4 linked regions of the Macaca fascicularis genome follow. The protein of the gene in region 4 interacts with the protein of the main gene of each other region in a biochemical or structural test. Links are inferred from orthologs where the notes say so. Each region holds a gene or a part of one and is shown on either strand. Other genes may lie near its edges.

Region 1 (3,861 bases), on a different chromosome or scaffold from region 4:
GACTCCGTCTCAAAAAAAAAAAAAAAAAAAAAATAGCTGGCTGGGCATGGTGGCTTACTCCTGTAATCCCAGCACTTTGGGAGGCCGAGGCGGGAGGATTGCTTGAGTCCAGGAGTTCAAGACCAGCCTGAGCAACATGGTTAAACCTCATCTTTACAAAACATAAAAAAAAAATTAACCAAGCGTGGTGGCACATGCCTGTAGTCCCAGCTGCTCAGGAGACTGAGATGGGCAGATCACCTGAGCCCGGGAAGCGGAAGTTGCAGTGAGCCGAGATCATGCCACTGTGCTCCAGCCTGGGTAACAGAGTGTTTTAAAAAAAAAAAAAAAAAAAAATAGCTAAGATTCACCGAGGGCCTCCTGCATGCCTTGCTGAGTCTGACATATGTTCACTCACTAACCTCACCGCCCTGGAGCTCCCGGGCCTGCCCTCGCCCTCCTGTGCTCCAATTGTCCCCCTTTGTGTGATGCAGGGTTTATCTGTTTAACAGCACTGTTATGTCACAGGTCCTATTTTACAGAGGAGAAAACTAGGGCACAGAGAGGTTATGTGGTTGGTTAGTACTGGAGCTGGGATTGAACCGGGGCGGTCTTCAAAAACAAACATGAAACACATAAGAGAACCAAATAGGCTGGGCATGGTGGCTCACGCCTGTAATCCCAGCACTTTGGGAGGTGGGTGGATCACCTGAGGTCAGGAGTTCAAGACCGACCTGGCCAACATGGTGAAACCCCGTCTCTACTAAAAATACCAAAATTAGCAGGGCGTGGTGGCGGGCGCCTGTAATCCCAGCTACTCAGGAGGCTGAGGCAAGAGAATTGCTTGAACCGGGAGGCAGAGGTTGCAGTGAGCCAAGATCACACCACTGCCCTCCAGCCCTCTGGGCAACAGAGGGAGACTCCATCTCAAAAACAAATAAATAAATAAAATAAAAGAACCAAATAACCAGGCATGGTAGCTGATACCTGTGATCCCAGGACTTTGGGAGGCTGAGGCGGGTGGGTCACTTGAACCCAGGAGTTCAAGACCAGCCTGGGCAGCATAAGGAGACCCTGTGTCTACAAAAAATCCAAAATTTAGCCTGGCCTGGTAGGAGCTGAGGTGGGAAGATCATCTGAGTCTGGGAGGTCAAGGCTGTGGTGAGCCGAGATTGCGCCACTGCATTCCAGCCTGGGCAACAGAGCGAGACCGTGTCTCAAGAAAAACAAAAACAAACAAAACCCCCAAATAACATGGATGGTGACAGGCGCCATGAGGGGCTGATATGGGAGTGGGACACAGGCAGTGGCTGGCAGGGGGCGGGCGGGGATGGGGGTAAGGGAGGAAGAGGTTCCTGCTGGGCCAAGTGTGTCATGTCCCCTCCACACATGCCACCAAACTCCTACTGCTCCGAGCCATACTCCGTCCCTGTTCCCCAGCCTAGGGGCTGTGCTGGGGCCTGACCCTTCGTGAACCCTCCTCAGTCCCGGTCAAGTGGACCTCCTCCCCCGCTCTCCACAGCCCTCGCCTTGTCTAGGCCACCATCACCATCACCAACACCATCCTTGCCAGCCTGGAGTGCCCGCTCTCCATTCTGTGGGGCTAATGGGGGTGGCTGTGTGGGGAGCCTCTGGGGTCTACTGTTGGGGGTGACTGAGGTTGGGGGTTCTCTGGGAACCTGTGGCCAAGGGTCTCTGGTCACAGTGCTGAGGTGGGGCTGGCTTTCCCACAGTGGAGTCCATTGATGATTACGTGAACGTTCCGGAGAGCGGGGAGAGCGCAGAAGCGTCTCTAGGTGAGTGACCGGTGCTCCTCGGTGCCTGCCCCTGCACCCCGCCACCCCACCATGCTCTCAATGTGACCAGACCCCACCCTGGGACTGCCCACACCCTCTGCCCCCTCTGTCTGGGCCTCCCCCTGCTCTCTTGCCCTCCTGACCCCTTTGCATGGCTGCCCCTCCTTCTGATCTGTCTCCACAGATGGCAGCCGGGAGTATGTGAATGTGTCCCAGGAGCTGCATCCTGGAGCGGCTAAGACTGAGCCTGGTGTGTGCTGCGGGAGGCGCAGGAGCTGGGGTAGCTGCCTTGGGCTTGGGGGGATAGCTTGCAAGCTGGAGACCAACCTCCCCTCCCCTACAGCCGCCCTGAGTTCCCAGAAGGCGGAGGAAGTGGAGGAAGAGGGGGCTCCAGATTACGAGAATCTGCAGGAGCTGAACTGAGGGCCTGGGTGAGAGGCCTGCCCTGTCCCCACCCTGTCCTGGGCCCGCAGCCTCTATTCCCTCCCTCCAGGACCCCTGCCCAACCCTACCTCCGGCTTGTCCCTCTGTCTCTGGGTACCTGCAGATCCCCATCAGCCTCCTGATCCATATCCCTCCCTGCCCTGGTGTGTTTCAGTGGAGGCCGAGTCTGTCCTGGAACCAAGCTTGTCTGGGACGGCTGGAGCTGGACAGCTGGAAGTGGCTCTGGGTTCTCACATGGCGTCCTGCCCTTGCTCCAGCCTGACAACAGCCTGAGAAATCCCCCCGTAACTTATTACCACTTTGCGGTTCGGCCTGTGTCCCCCGAACACTCTGCACCTTCTGACGCAGCCTGACAACAATGACCTGCCCTGGCCCCAGCCCTGCTCTGTGTAATAGAATAAAGGCCTGCGTGTGTCTGTGTTGAGCGTGCATCTGTGTGTGCCCGTGTGTGAGTCTGAATCAGAGATTTGGAGATGTCTGTGTGTGTGTCTGTGTCTGTGTGTGTGTGTCTGTGGGTCTCCATCCTTCATGGGGGCTCAGCCAGGTGCTGTGAGTGACAGCAGACAGTGGCTGGGACACCCCCCTTCTGAATGAGGCCTTCTGACTTGGGCTGGCACTGCTGAGGCTCAGGACACATCGCCCCATGAGACAGTCCCAGGACGCGGCAGCTGCTGGCTGTGACAAGGGTTTCGCCATCCGTAGGCCAAGGGATGGGACCTGATGACCTGGGAGGACTCTCTTAGTTCTTACCTTTTGTGGTTCTCAATAAAACAGAACTTAAAAAATCATCTAAGCAACTGAAAAAGTTAATATGCAGCACAGCACTTTTGAGACTTTGATGGGTAGGTGACTCACCAGCAGACTTTACTGTGGGGTGGGTTCTGACTCAGTTCGCCTAGGACGTGGCCTGCGACTTTGCATTTCTGAGCCGCTCCTGTGTGATTCTGATGCTGCTGGTCTGTGAACCTCATCTTGTGGAGCAAGGGCATGGTGAGCATCTATTGCCTTTACTTGACCGGGATCCATTTCCCTATTTTGGGAATTTCACCCTGGCTTTCCTCCGCGATTCACTCCTTTCCCAGTCTCATTTCATGTAGTTTTAGAGATTGTGTGTGTGTGTTTTTTTTTTTTTTTTTGAAATGGGGTCTCCCTCTGTCACCCAGGCTGGAGTGCAGTGGCACGATCTTGGCTCACTGCAACCTCTACCTCCTGGGTTCAAGCAATTCTCTCGCCTCAGCCTCCTGAGTAGCTGGGATTACAGACCCCCACTACCACACCCGGCTAATTTTTGTATTTTTAGTAGAGATGGGTTTCAGCATGTTGGCTGGGCTGGTCTCAAACTCCTGACCTCAGGTGATCCCACCCACCTCGGCCTCCCAAAGTGCTGGGATTACAGGGGTGAGCCACCGCACCTGGCCTGTTTTTTCTTTTTTGGAAATGAGGTCTCACTCTGTCGCCCAGGCTGGAATGCAGTAATGTAATCATGCCTCAGTGCAGCCTTGAACTCCTGGGCTCAAGTGACCCTCCCAGCTCAGCTTCCTGAGTAGCTGAGACTACAGATGCACACCCCCATGTCCGGCTAATGTTTTATTTTTTGTAGAGATGGGGGTCTCACTGTGTTGCCCAGGCTGGTCTTGAACTC
Region 2 (4,248 bases), on a different chromosome or scaffold from region 4:
CTTATATATCCGAAAAGATACCTTTAGATACTCTTCTACATCTGGGAGATCAGGCATAGTGGCTCATGCCTGTAATCCCAGCAGGAATATCATTAAGTTTTTCAAATGCACAAATGCTTAAGATTCAGGAGTAAGTGGGCTATCACTGACACCTGTTAAGCTTATGACCACTTCATTGCTAGTGACCAAGCAGACAAATTGCTAATCAAAGCATAAAAGGTATTAGACTCTGTAGGAGGAAAGAAACTTAATATTAGGCTCTGTCCAATTTTATAGCTACTTCAAATTGCCATCTTTGTTAGCACCTTGTTCCTATTCTGAATAGCACTCAGTAAAACTTGTGAAACCAACTGGCATAAAGCTAACTCCACTGACTTTAAAATGGATCCCTCCACTCACATAGGGTGTGCACTAGCAACTACTTACTTCTTATGTCAGGGGAAATAGTCAACTTCCACTGCCCAGTCATTTTAACCTGTTTTAAAACGCACATCCCTGTAATTTGGAAACTATTTCATGTTTCCAAAGATTCACTTAACATTGGTTTAACTACATTAAGCTTTCTATGCAACACAAGGACTCTATTACAGCATTTGGCCTTCCTTAGTGACAGGCCATCAGTAACATGCTGCATTTCTCTCCAATGTGGAAATCAAAGCAGCCCTCCCATAGCTTAGATTCCTTCCCCTTCCAAGTACGTGGGAGGAAAACAACCTTATCTCCACCTAGAAGTGTTAACTTGAGAACTACATTTTCATAAAGTTTCCACAAATTCATAAAACCAGAATTACATGTCTTTCTCCTAAGCGAGGTAAAACTTGAAAGTTTCAGTGTTGACCAAAGGAACACACAGGTTTCTCATTAAACTTTTTTAATGGGTCTCAAAATTCTGTGACAAATTTTTGGTCAAGTTGTTTCCATTAAAAAGTACTGATTTTAAAAACTAATAACTTAAAACTGCCACACGCAAAAAAGAAAACCAAAGTGGTCCACAAAACATTCTCCTTTCCTTCTGAAGGTTTTACGATGCATTGTTATCATTAACCAGTCTTTTACTACTAAACTTAAATGGCCAATTGAAACAAACAGTTCTGAGACCGTTCTTCCACCACTGATTAAGAGTGGGGTGGCAGGTATTAGGGATAATATTCATTTAGCCTTCTGAGCTTTCTGGGCAGACTTGGTGACCTTGCCAGCTCCAGCAGCCTTCTTGTCCACTGCTTTGATGACACCCACCGCAACTGTCTGCCTCATATCACGAACAGCAAAGCGACCTATTAAAAAAAAAATGTAGTATTACCAAAACTGTTCACAGTTGTATTTTTCATCTTTAACACAACTTATTTACGTTTAAGTAATCATCCTTACCCAAAGGTGGATAGTCTGAGAAGCTCTCAACACACATAGGCTTGCCAGGAACCATATCAACAATGGCAGCATCACCAGACTTCAAGAATTTAGGGCCATCTTCCAGTTTTTTACCAGAACGGCGATCAATCTTTTCCTTCAGCTCAGCAAACTTGCATGCAATGTGAGCTGTGTGGCAGTCCAACACAGGGGCATAGCCAGCACTTATTTGGCCTGGATGGTTCAGGATAATCACCTTGGAAAAAAAGATTTGCGTTCAGTGTAAATCCAAAGTCTCAAATGACTTTAGCCTCTGCAATAAGGTAGGAACATGTTACTTTAAAAATTGTTACCTGAGCAGTGAAGCCAGCTGCTTCCATTGGTGGGTCGTTTTTGCTGTCACCAGCAACGTTGCCACGACGAACATCCTTGACAGACACATTCTTGACATTGAAGCCCACATTGTCCCCAGGAAGAGCTTCACTCAAAGCTTCATGGTGCATTTCGACAGATTTTACTTCAGTTGTAACGTTGACTGGAGCAAAGGTGACCACCATACCGGGTTTGAGAACACCAGTCTCCACTCGGCCAACAGGAACAGTACCAATACCTAAAAATATTTACAGCATACTAAATACCTATGAAGGAAGATAGTACTCTACCAACTCAAATTCAACTTTGTTGACACCCAACTTACCACCAATTTTGTAGACATCCTGGAGAGGCAGGCGCAAGGGCTTGTCAGTTGGACGAGTTGGTGGTAGGATGCAGTCCAGAGCCTCAAGCAGCGTGGTTCCACTGGCATTGCCATCCTTACGGGTGACCTTCCATCCCTTGAACCAAGGCATCTGAAACACAACCATGCCAATTTGTGTAAGCATGAAATCGCCATTCCCAGAGCTTTTTAACAACGGTCTTGAAAGCCACTTACGTTAGCACTTGGCTCCAGCATGTTGTCACCATTCCAACCAGAAATTGGCACAAATGCTACTGTGTCGGGGTTGTAGCCAATTTTCTTAATGTAAGTGCTGACTTCCTTAACAATTTCCTCGTATCTCTTCTGGCTGTAGGGTGGCTCAGTGGAATCCATTTTGTTAACACCAACAATTAGTTGTTTCACACCCAGTGTGTAAGCCAGAAGAGCATGCTCTCGGGTCTGCCCATTCTTGGAGATACCAGCTTCAAATTCACCAACACCAGCAGCAACAATCAGGACAGCACAGTCAGCCTTTAAAGAAAGCAAAGACATATCCCTGTCAACTCTCCAAAGGACAAAACCAATGCACAAGACAGGCATTTCAGGGGAAAAAAAAAAAAAAAAACAACCTAGAATTATTAATCCCACCAACCTGAGATGTCCCTGTAATCATGTTTTTGATGAAGTCTCTGTGTCCTGGGGCATCAATGATAGTCACATAATACTTGCTGGTCTCAAATTTCCACAAGGAGATATCAATGGTGATACCACGTTCCCGCTCAGCTTTCAGTTTATCCAAGACCCAGGCATACTTGAAGGAGCCCTTTCCCATCTGTAAGGATTAAGAGTTGTTACTTGGTTACTAACACACAAACTCCAGCTTCAATTTCTTTGCCCCCAGCCCTTAATTGGCACATAGTTTCCACTTTACAACTGCAAGTCCTAAGTGATTTTAGTCACTTAGATAGGGTTACAGAAGCAACCAAAAAGCAAACTTTTTAAAGTAGGATCTTGACTATTAATATCCAAATCGAAACTACTCACTAGCAATACGGTTACAGAAGTAACCAAAAGCAAACTATTTTAATAAGTAGGGTCAGATCTAAACCACTCACTAGTTCTGGGGAAATCACTACCACTTAATGATTCTGCTGGTAAAACTCATTTTAGTTCATCTTTCCCATACCTCAGCAGCCTCCTTCTCAAATTTTTCAATGGTTCTTTTGTCGATGCCACCGCATTTGTAGATCAGATGGCCAGTAGTGGTGGACTTGCCCGAATCTACGTGTCCAATGACGACAATGTTGATATGAGTCTTTTCCTTTCCCATTTTGGCTTTTAGGGGTAGTTTTCACGACACCTGAAATGGGAGAAAAAAACTTTGAACCACTGTCTGAAGCTTGAGAATAAGCCAAGATCCAAATTCGAAAAGGGCAAATTCCAAGGAGAATTACATCGAGCGCCAAGCTGGCCTAACTCTTCAGTCTCCACCCACCAAGTGTGGGGAAACTCCACCGCACAAAACCCCTCCCCCAAACCTAAGGAAGACGTACTCCAAAAGCTCGGAGAACTAATCGAGGTGCCTGGACGGCGCCCGGTACTCCGTGGGGTCACATGAAGCGGCGACCGAGGAGGGAAAGGCCCTTTTCCTTTGTGTGGGTGACTCACCCGCCCGCTCTCCCGGGCGCCGCGTCCTCCATTTTGAGCTCCCTGCGGCAGGGCCGGGAAGCGGCCATCTTTCCGCTCACGCAACTGGTGCCGACCGGGCCAGGCTTGCCGACCAGGGCGGGGCGACACACCGCCGCGCGAGGCCCGGCACCAGAGCAGGACGGCCAGCTTGAGACTCCCCCCGTCCGACTCTCGGTGGCCGCGCTCGCAGGCCCCGCCTCGCCGAACATGTGCGCTGGGACGCACGAGCCCCGTCGCAGCCCGCGGCCCCCAAAACCCCAATATCAGTGTGCAGATCCTGGTCCGCATTTATAAGATTATCTCGCCAGAAAAAAGGCGTTGCAGCTGGTCATCAAAAATTTTAAATGGCTAGAAACTTAGTGAAAGCAGCGGGGCAGGCGCGAAGGTGCTACCAGATTCGCACGCGGCAGCCCCAGAGCCCAAGCCAGGCCTCGACTCAAGCACGAGGCGAAGGGACTCCTTAAGTGCAAGGCCTCGACCTCTCCCACCCACTTCCAACCCGAAGCTCGGGATCA
Region 3 (3,879 bases), on a different chromosome or scaffold from region 4:
GAAAAGCAGTGGCAAATGCATGGGAGAGAGAAATGTATATAAGGAGGGAGATCAATGGATAGAAGGACAGAAAGCTGTCAAATGCCTAAAAGAACAGGGAGCAGAAATTTACAAGTCAGGAGAAGAGGGAAGAAATATATATATCTGGTTTTTGTTCTCCATAAGAATGTTAGTCATTCCTGCATTTGGGCATTCATAGCCTCTTACACATGCCTCTCTTACTTAGTGACAATGCATTCGAATGACTGAGACTCTGTGTAAATCTCCAGTGACCAAGAGGCAGCATGGTGGCTCCCTTTCCCCACTTCCATCTCCCCTCCTCCCTTCATCCGGCAATATTGGACCAGCTTCTGGTACGGTGCTTGAGATTGAGTAAAACATCATTAAACCTTTGTTGAATGATTACATAGTGACTGTTCACTGAACGTGAGCCATGCAAAGGTCAGGCACATAGGAGGTGGAACAGGAAGACACACTGTCCTCAGTGTCAACAAGGCAGAACAGGAAGGAGTGCAGGCAATAAACACTATCAAATGAATCAACCGTCAGAAGCACAGAAGCCAAGACAATGACAATTAATGACTCTCCGCAATAGTAAAATCCAGCGGTTTTTTTGCTCTTCTAATTTTTTGGTTGATATTTTGTAGCCAGAGAACCTTCCTATTTCTGTCTGACTTCTGAGAAAGAAGGCTTAGTGCACACTCTTTATGTATTCTGAAGGCCCTGGTCCAGCAACTGTCGTTTCAAACTCGCCCATTGATCAAGGAGCCCTAAAGGCTTTTTAATCAAATGTGTTCATCATAGAGGTGGGAAGCTAAGGTCTAGAGAAACTCAGTGATGTGCCCATCAGTGACAGACCCAGCACAAATGCAGGTCTTCTGAGCCCTGCTGCTCTGCTCCAAGCCATTGCACATTTTGAGGGTACCTACCACTTCTCCAGGGTAAGTCCACTGAAGGTCAACCACCTCATTGTTAAAAACAGCACAGGTGACCACAATCGTTTCCCCTGACTTATACACGGTTTTAAGAGCTTCCATTTCTAGATCCAGCTCTGATGTTGCTATAAAAAAGAACAAATACAAGGGCCTAAAAATCCATAGGATAGTAAGGATCTTATAAAGTTTGGGTGGTGGTGTTGTTTTTTGTTTTTTTAAGAAAACCCTGAAAAATAATTTGTGAACCAATTATGAATAAAAGCCCTGATCAAGATAAAATTTAGAAAATCTCACAAGGCTTGATTTTGAGATGGTGTACAACAATTAGGTGTATAGTTATAATACAGAATTATAAAATAATAACAATAAAAATAAATTCCAATCACTGCATTCCTCAGCAGTGCGTTAGTTATGGTTATACTCGTCTACCATCACCTTGACTGACATACTTATTCATTTAATCAACCAACCTTTGATGATCCACACTGCTCTAGACACTTTGTTTCTATCCAATTTTTTCTTCTCTTCTTCTCTTCCACTCTGCTCCTCAGTTATTCTCAGTACTTTCCCAGAACCCAGCACAGTGCCTGGCACAAAATTAGCTGTGCTCTGATTTTCAAACAGTGTACTCTTGCTGCTACCCATTCCTCCACATAGAATAGTGGTCAGGAAATATCTGTTGACCTCAGCATGTATTATACTTCCCCAAGCGTACTAACTGTGGACATCAAAGGGTTGAAGTCTACAACTACTTTCTTCAGAATTGAAATCATTTTCCTTAAGTTACTAAATTAATCTAGGAATCTAACCCCCGAGGTGTATGCTTGTTTTAGGGCCTCCGTAGTCAGGAATGTGAATGAAAGTAAGAGGCTTATATAAGAAAAGAATTCCTTACAGTATTTTGAAGTCAACTGATGAAACATGAAATCTTGCATGAGTAATCAAGCTTTAGCCTTTAGTAATTTTAAGCTTATTATTATAGCCATAGAGGTCACCTTGACACTGTATTAGCTGGGGTCCTAAATCCCCAAATCAGAATTTAGGATCACCAGTGGTGATGATTTTAAAAAAAAATCATACATGCACCTGATGATTATGCCTGTTACTCTTATTTAAAGAAGGAAGGAGATGATATGAGTACCTTTTAAAGCATAAACGTTAAATGGGATGGTCTGGAACTTCTTTCCTTTGACGGTGGCCTCACAGATATAGGGCCCTACAGTGAAGGTCCCATTAAAGCCCTGTCTGCTGTTGTAGGAGGCAGGTACCACCCCCTCACTGTTGTGTAAAGTTACAGGAGTCTCAGGATCAGTTGTGCGACAAGGTATGATGGCAGAATCATCGTCCTCCACGATGACTAAATAATCCGTCATTCCTAGAGGTACAAAGGCTACATCTGGGTCTGTGGTTTAAAAAAGAATGAAGACTCCATTAGACATTAATTTCACCTTTACACATAAATCCAGAAACACTATCCCACTGGCAGTATTGATATTAGGTATGAAGTTCACCTTTACACATATATCCAGAAGAATTGCCCCACTGGCATTAGTTATCATGACAGCTACAAAGTGATTTTTAAGTGTGAATAATGTCAAATTGCTTGTCTCCTGATGGATAATACTGATGATAAATATTAATAATGGATAAGAGTTGTGGCTCATGCCTTTAATCCCAGCACTTTGGGAAGCCAAGGTGGGAGGGTTGCTTGTGTTCAGGAGTTTGAGACCAGGCTGGGCAACATAGAGAGACCCTGTCTCTACAAATAAATAAATAAATACTAACCAGGAATCTAAATCAAAATTTAAACAACTAAAAACAAAAATGAACAATAAAATATTTAATAGAGTCCAACTCTGTTCAAAACAGGAAAAAATATTTCTAGTTTTATTATGAAATACTTTCAAAAAACTCTTATCACCTGTAGTCAGTACGATTGAAAAGTAGCACAGAAATGTGTTTGTTAAAAAGTAATCCTTTGAGAAATACATAAAATTTAAAGAAGGAGAAGGAGAAGGAGCCTGAGAATTTCCTTTCCAAAAGAAAAACAGCTACTTAAGCTACGGTGGTAAGAAGTTCTAAGAGTCTCAAACATCAGCTGCAGAAAAGGCCCCTAAATCTCCATTATTGTGAAATCAAAAGATCTCTGTCAGACAGCGATGCAGGGGCTACTTGGATGGCGTCTGTGCTGGAAAAAGATAGGGAACAAGAAGAATTTTTGGACAATCTTACACGGATTAAAACCAGGGACTTGTGTGCCTTTAACATATTCACGATCCTACCATTCTCTTCACAGCAGGGGAAAATCCCTCCACACCTAGAGGATTTTCCTGAAGGAATCTAAGTGTGAATGAAGTTGGGGTGACATTCTAAATGTCTTACCTTTTCAAAACAAAGTTGTTTATTTTTTCCTTAATTGTTAAGAAGGAAGGCTCATATGAATAAGAGTATCATGAAAGAAGTAAAGAGGGTCTAGGTCCCTGGGGACACCCATAGTTACAGAGGGTAGGAAGAGGAGCCCATTAAAAACTGAAAAAGAAAAGGCAGAAAGGTAGGAAGACACACTTCTGTGAGAACCCCCTTCCTCGACCTATGCCAAAACGGCAAGGATGGCAAGAATCCTAAGCGGTTTCTGTTTTGTTCTAAAACCAAGGATTCTAGCCACAGTCCTTTTTAATTTACCCAACTGCATACTGAAATTGCCACCACTTGTGTTCAATCCTTTGTCCTTTTAATTAAAATGTAGGAGTAGGCCGGGCCCAGTGGCTCACGCCCGTAACCCCAGAACTTTGGAAGGCTGAGGTGGGTGGGGCTCACTTGAGCCCAGGAGTTCGAGACCAGCCTGGGCCACACAGTGAAACCCTATCTCTACAAAAAAAATACAAAAATTTCGGCATAGTGGCTCACGCCTGTAATCCCAGCATTTTGGGAGGCCGAAGCAGAT
Region 4 (3,879 bases):
CCTGGCCTTCCTCATCAGGCCACCAAGGCGGCCACCACCACTAGCACCTGGTCCACAGGGATCCTTCAACCTCAGCGGAGATGGCTTCAGAGGCCTCAGGCCGGGTCTCACCCTTTCTTTTCTTCACATTCTTATACGTGAGGCCCAGTCCAGGATTCCAAAATCTCTCAGGTCCGAAATGCCCAAACTCCCAAGTATTTCTGAGCTATGTGCAGGTGGGCCCTTCACAGACTACCCATATTCAGTGCTTTAGTTCAGTGGCTCATCGGTTCGCTGCTGAGCCCAAAGTCAGGAAGAGCCTTTCCACTCCCCACACTCCTCCGGCCACTCCTCTCCATCACCTGAGCCCCTGGTGCCAGTGGACAACAGGCCTCTCCCCAGCCAGCCCTGTCTGCTGACGACATAAGTCTCTCAACTGATCTCCTGGTCCTAGACCCCTTTCTTCTGTCCAGGGCCCTTATCACCAGCTGTGCTGCCATGAGTCCCGACTTTTTCCCTCAGTGGTCTCACCTCCTGTGGCTCTGCCCTCCATACCATCCACCAGGAGGCTCCACAGCTACTCTTGGGTAGCCTCTTCCTACCTGCCCTAGGACAGAGTCCAGGCCAAGCCCAGGTTGATGAGCTTCCACTGTGTGCACCTCTCCCAGCGTGAGCCCCAGAACCTCCTCACTCCTCACCTTGACTCATGGGGAACCCGCTGCTTATGTGCCTGTCCCCATCCTTGTGGACACTGCTCAGGTGTCCCCTCCTCCAGACACCCTCCTGGTACCCACACTGGCTCCCAGCTGGACTCAGGGGCCTTCCTATGAACTCCTACAACACCCCAGGCCTTGCTGTTACACATATCCAGATTATCCAGTGACTGCTAAGATTCTGGGTCTCTCCTGCCTCCCCTGCCATGCCCCGTCTACCACAGCCCCTCACAGCTGTGCCAATCTTCTCCAGCGCCTCCTCATTGATTGGGTAGCGCAGCTTCATCTTGCGGTATAGCGGGTGCTTCTCATAGTAGCTGATGAGGTCAACAAGGCTGTCGAACTCCGAGTTCCCTAGCATCACAGTCTGGCCCTCTTGCTGGACACGGCAATGCTTGATCTTGCCTTCAGCCCTTCACAAGGACAAAACAGTCACACAGGGTCAGGGCAGCTCAGACCCAAGCAAGGCCCCACAACCCAGGGCCATACCCCTCACCGGAAAGAGATGGCATATGAGTTGGGCTCATTCCGCTTCCGCACCAGGAAGGCCCCATCACGAGGGACACGCATCAGCATGTGCTCAGCCTGTGCTCTGGTCAGGCTCGCGTGGTACCACCTGAGGACAGGCAGAGTCAGGCCCAGCCAGCACCACCCATTGCCCTGCCCTGCCCACCCCCAGGTCCCTCCCTCACTCTTTGCTCTCATGGGCATTGGTCTGTGGGACAGGCTCTGAAAGTCGCATCTCAAACTCATTGCAGCGCAGGGGCACCTGCTGGTAGTGTGTGATGAGGTCATAGAGGGAGTCAAAGACGAGGTTGTCTGTCAAGAAGAACTTGGGGGTCCCAGCATCTTGCCGTGAGTGGATACGGCAGTGCTGGACTTTCCCGTTCCGCCTGTGGAAGACACAACGTGAGGGAGGCTGGGAGAAATAGGCCAGGGCCCCAAAGACCAAGTTCCACCTCAAATGAGGCACCGAGCCTCAAGGAGGGAGGCCAATCTCCTGAGGAGCTCAGGTGTGGGCAGTTGCACTGAAAGGCTTCAAATGAACCAAAAAGGGAGGGGTATGGCGGGGGGGGGGGGTGAGAGAGAGAGAGAGAAATTTATGTTCCATGTAAAGCATAATTATTGTTCTGGATCAAAGGCTCAAATGTTAACTGATTATCTCTGGGTGGTGTCATGTCTGTGTACACACGCTGACTGAATATGTGCATCTGCATGGGAAGTGTTACCAGAAAGAGAGCGTGTAGTCGCCCACGAAGGTCTCACTCTCTCGCACGAGGAAGGAGCCGTCAGGGGCCCCGGTCTCGATGCAGTACTCAGTGAGCAGGCGCTCAGCGATGTGCCGCCCGTCACGCCCTGCCCCTAGCTTCCCATGGAACCACTTCTCATTGGAGTGCAGCTCTGTGCTGCTGCTGACCTGTCAGGGGAAGGCAACAGCAAAGACACTGGGACCCTGGCCCAGGCCCGACCTGGCCCAGCCCCAGACCTGAGCTGGTTCCTCACCTCCTTGGGCTCCTCCTCATCCTCGTTGCCCTGGTCACTGCTGGTCTCCTCAGAGTAGTAGATCTTGCTGCTGGTCAGAACGAAGTAGTGGGGATACCATTCCTGGAACGGACCAAAGAGGGACTTGTGAGCCAGGGTCCTCACACCCACTGGCCCACCACCCCCAGCCCGGCCCAGTCCTCACATGGTTCACAGGGTCCTCCAGGTAGAGGATGCCATTCTTGATGGAGTTGCTGATGTCGTTCTCAGAGTACATCATGGATGTAGGCACCTCCTCGTAGGCACTGCCCTCAGCCAGCTTCTTGTGCTGGAGGGGCAACCAGAGCAAGGCAATGCAGACTCCAGTCATCACCCCACCTCCTCACCCAGGCGTAGGCCCAATAGCTGAAGCCATGGCCTGGGCGAGGCACTGAGAAGTGTGGGGCTTCCCCAGTAAGCCCACCACCCCCACCTTGATGAGGATCTTCCTCTTAAGCTGGTTGGGTGAGGGGAGCCCATCGGCGGAGATCTCCACGGGCTTGGTGAGGAGTGTGTCCCCTAGCACCTTCTTGAAGTGCTGGGCCATGTTCCTCTGCTGGGCAATGCTGCAGTGGTCCTCAATGGACAGGATGACTGGGTACCTGCAGGGTGGGGGACAAGCACAGTGAAACAGATTCTGCAATTCTCTGGGGTCTAAGTAGCCCCTCACAGTGAGGTGTTGGGAGCCAAGGGCCTGGGGATTTCTTGTCTATAAAAACTATCCCAGGCCATAGCCACTGGCGGGGCAGCGGGGGTTCTACAGCTGTGGCAGCAGTGGAAATCAAAGGGTGGCCACTGATGCAGCCCGAGCTGGCCCAATTATGGAGGCTGCTCAGCAGTGCAAGAAAAATGAGGCCACCAAAGAGGCCAGGAGAGAGGAGAAGCCTCCAAAGTTAGCTGTTAGAGCCCTGGTGAGCTAAGGGAGACCAGTGACCACAGTTTAAGCAGTAAACAGAATTGAAGGAATGGGACATAGGGAAGACAGACAATCTCCTGGGCTGTGAGGGCAAAGGAGTTGGCAGGACACTGGCCTAAAGAAAGCAGGGCATGTTTCCTGAAGATGAGAAGAGCATGTGTTGTACAGTCTAAAGGACCCATGAAAAAGAAAGTGGGCTCAACATGTAGGAAACAGAAAGTGTAACTTGGGAAGCAACAGCTCAAACAGGAAGCAGGTGACGAGGAGAGGCCAAGAGGAAGGACAAAGATGAAAGGCTGAGGGAGAGGGGACAGGGTATTCGAGGAGTCTTGCTGCCCTCTGTCCCTCTAGAATGAGAGAGCTGGAGCCAAGTTAACCCCTGGGTCCTCCAGCCTCTGACTCACTCTGAGGCCACAAAGGCATGCTCCTTGATGGTTTGCAGGACATCTGAGAACTTGATCTTGGTGGTAAGGGTGTGCCCATGGTAAATAACTGGCATCCCATCTGGGCCGTCCCAGCAGTCCACTGGGGAGCAACATCATCATGGTCAAGCAGGCAGGCCTCCCATCTTCCCTCCCCCAGCCCCGGACCCCACGCACACTCAATGCAGCGACAGCCCATCCGCAGGCAGCGAGCATAGGCTTCCAAGGAGGACTCACTGGAGAACTGGTCCCCGGTCAGGTACCTGGATAGGCAAGGAGAGGCATGTATGGTCAGATAGGCCCTCCTGGGAAGAAGCTGGGTGGGCCC

Evidence for each region. The genes of interacting proteins can lie anywhere in the genome.
Region 1: the proteins of PLCG1 (region 4) and LAT form a complex in vitro, tested with the Homo sapiens proteins (2 studies listed by BioGRID and IntAct, with this or other methods). The link is inferred for Macaca fascicularis from reciprocal best matches to the Homo sapiens genes PLCG1 and LAT.
Region 2: the proteins of PLCG1 (region 4) and EEF1A1 form a complex in vitro, tested with the Homo sapiens proteins (2 studies listed by BioGRID, with this or other methods). The link is inferred for Macaca fascicularis from reciprocal best matches to the Homo sapiens genes PLCG1 and EEF1A1.
Region 3: the proteins of PLCG1 (region 4) and PDGFRA form a complex in vitro, tested with the Homo sapiens proteins (2 studies listed by BioGRID, with this or other methods). The link is inferred for Macaca fascicularis from reciprocal best matches to the Homo sapiens genes PLCG1 and PDGFRA.

Annotation. Positions count from the first base shown.
Region 1 is NC_088394.1:27,476,128-27,479,988, reverse strand, and holds the end of LAT (linker for activation of T-cells family member 1), read left to right. Parts: intron 1-1,712; coding exon 1,713-1,775; intron 1,776-1,959; coding exon 1,960-2,025; intron 2,026-2,118; coding exon 2,119-2,198; 3' UTR 2,199-2,206; intron 2,207-2,373; 3' UTR 2,374-3,007; downstream 3,008-3,861. UniProt on the Homo sapiens protein: Required for TCR (T-cell antigen receptor)- and pre-TCR-mediated signaling, both in mature T-cells and during their development.
Region 2 is NC_088378.1:101,525,468-101,529,715, reverse strand, and holds the end of EEF1A1 (elongation factor 1-alpha 1), read right to left. Parts: intron 3,405-4,248; 5' UTR 3,375-3,404; coding exon 3,231-3,374; intron 2,877-3,230; coding exon 2,697-2,876; intron 2,576-2,696; coding exon 2,279-2,575; intron 2,196-2,278; coding exon 2,045-2,195; intron 1,958-2,044; coding exon 1,701-1,957; intron 1,604-1,700; coding exon 1,369-1,603; intron 1,275-1,368; coding exon 1,150-1,274; 3' UTR 855-1,149; downstream 1-854. UniProt on the Homo sapiens protein: Translation elongation factor that catalyzes the GTP-dependent binding of aminoacyl-tRNA (aa-tRNA) to the A-site of ribosomes during the elongation phase of protein synthesis.
Region 3 is NC_088379.1:79,632,522-79,636,400, forward strand, and holds part of PDGFRA (platelet-derived growth factor receptor alpha), read right to left. Parts: intron 2,338-3,879; coding exon 2,077-2,337; intron 1,061-2,076; coding exon 930-1,060; intron 1-929. UniProt on the Homo sapiens protein: Tyrosine-protein kinase that acts as a cell-surface receptor for PDGFA, PDGFB and PDGFC and plays an essential role in the regulation of embryonic development, cell proliferation, survival and chemotaxis.
Region 4 is NC_088384.1:97,270,845-97,274,723, reverse strand, and holds part of PLCG1 (1-phosphatidylinositol 4,5-bisphosphate phosphodiesterase gamma-1), read right to left. Parts: intron 3,815-3,879; coding exon 3,729-3,814; intron 3,655-3,728; coding exon 3,534-3,654; intron 2,816-3,533; coding exon 2,647-2,815; intron 2,503-2,646; coding exon 2,380-2,502; intron 2,298-2,379; coding exon 2,196-2,297; intron 2,110-2,195; coding exon 1,922-2,109; intron 1,586-1,921; coding exon 1,385-1,585; intron 1,309-1,384; coding exon 1,189-1,308; intron 1,106-1,188; coding exon 925-1,105; intron 1-924. UniProt on the Homo sapiens protein: Mediates the production of the second messenger molecules diacylglycerol (DAG) and inositol 1,4,5-trisphosphate (IP3). Plays an important role in the regulation of intracellular signaling cascades.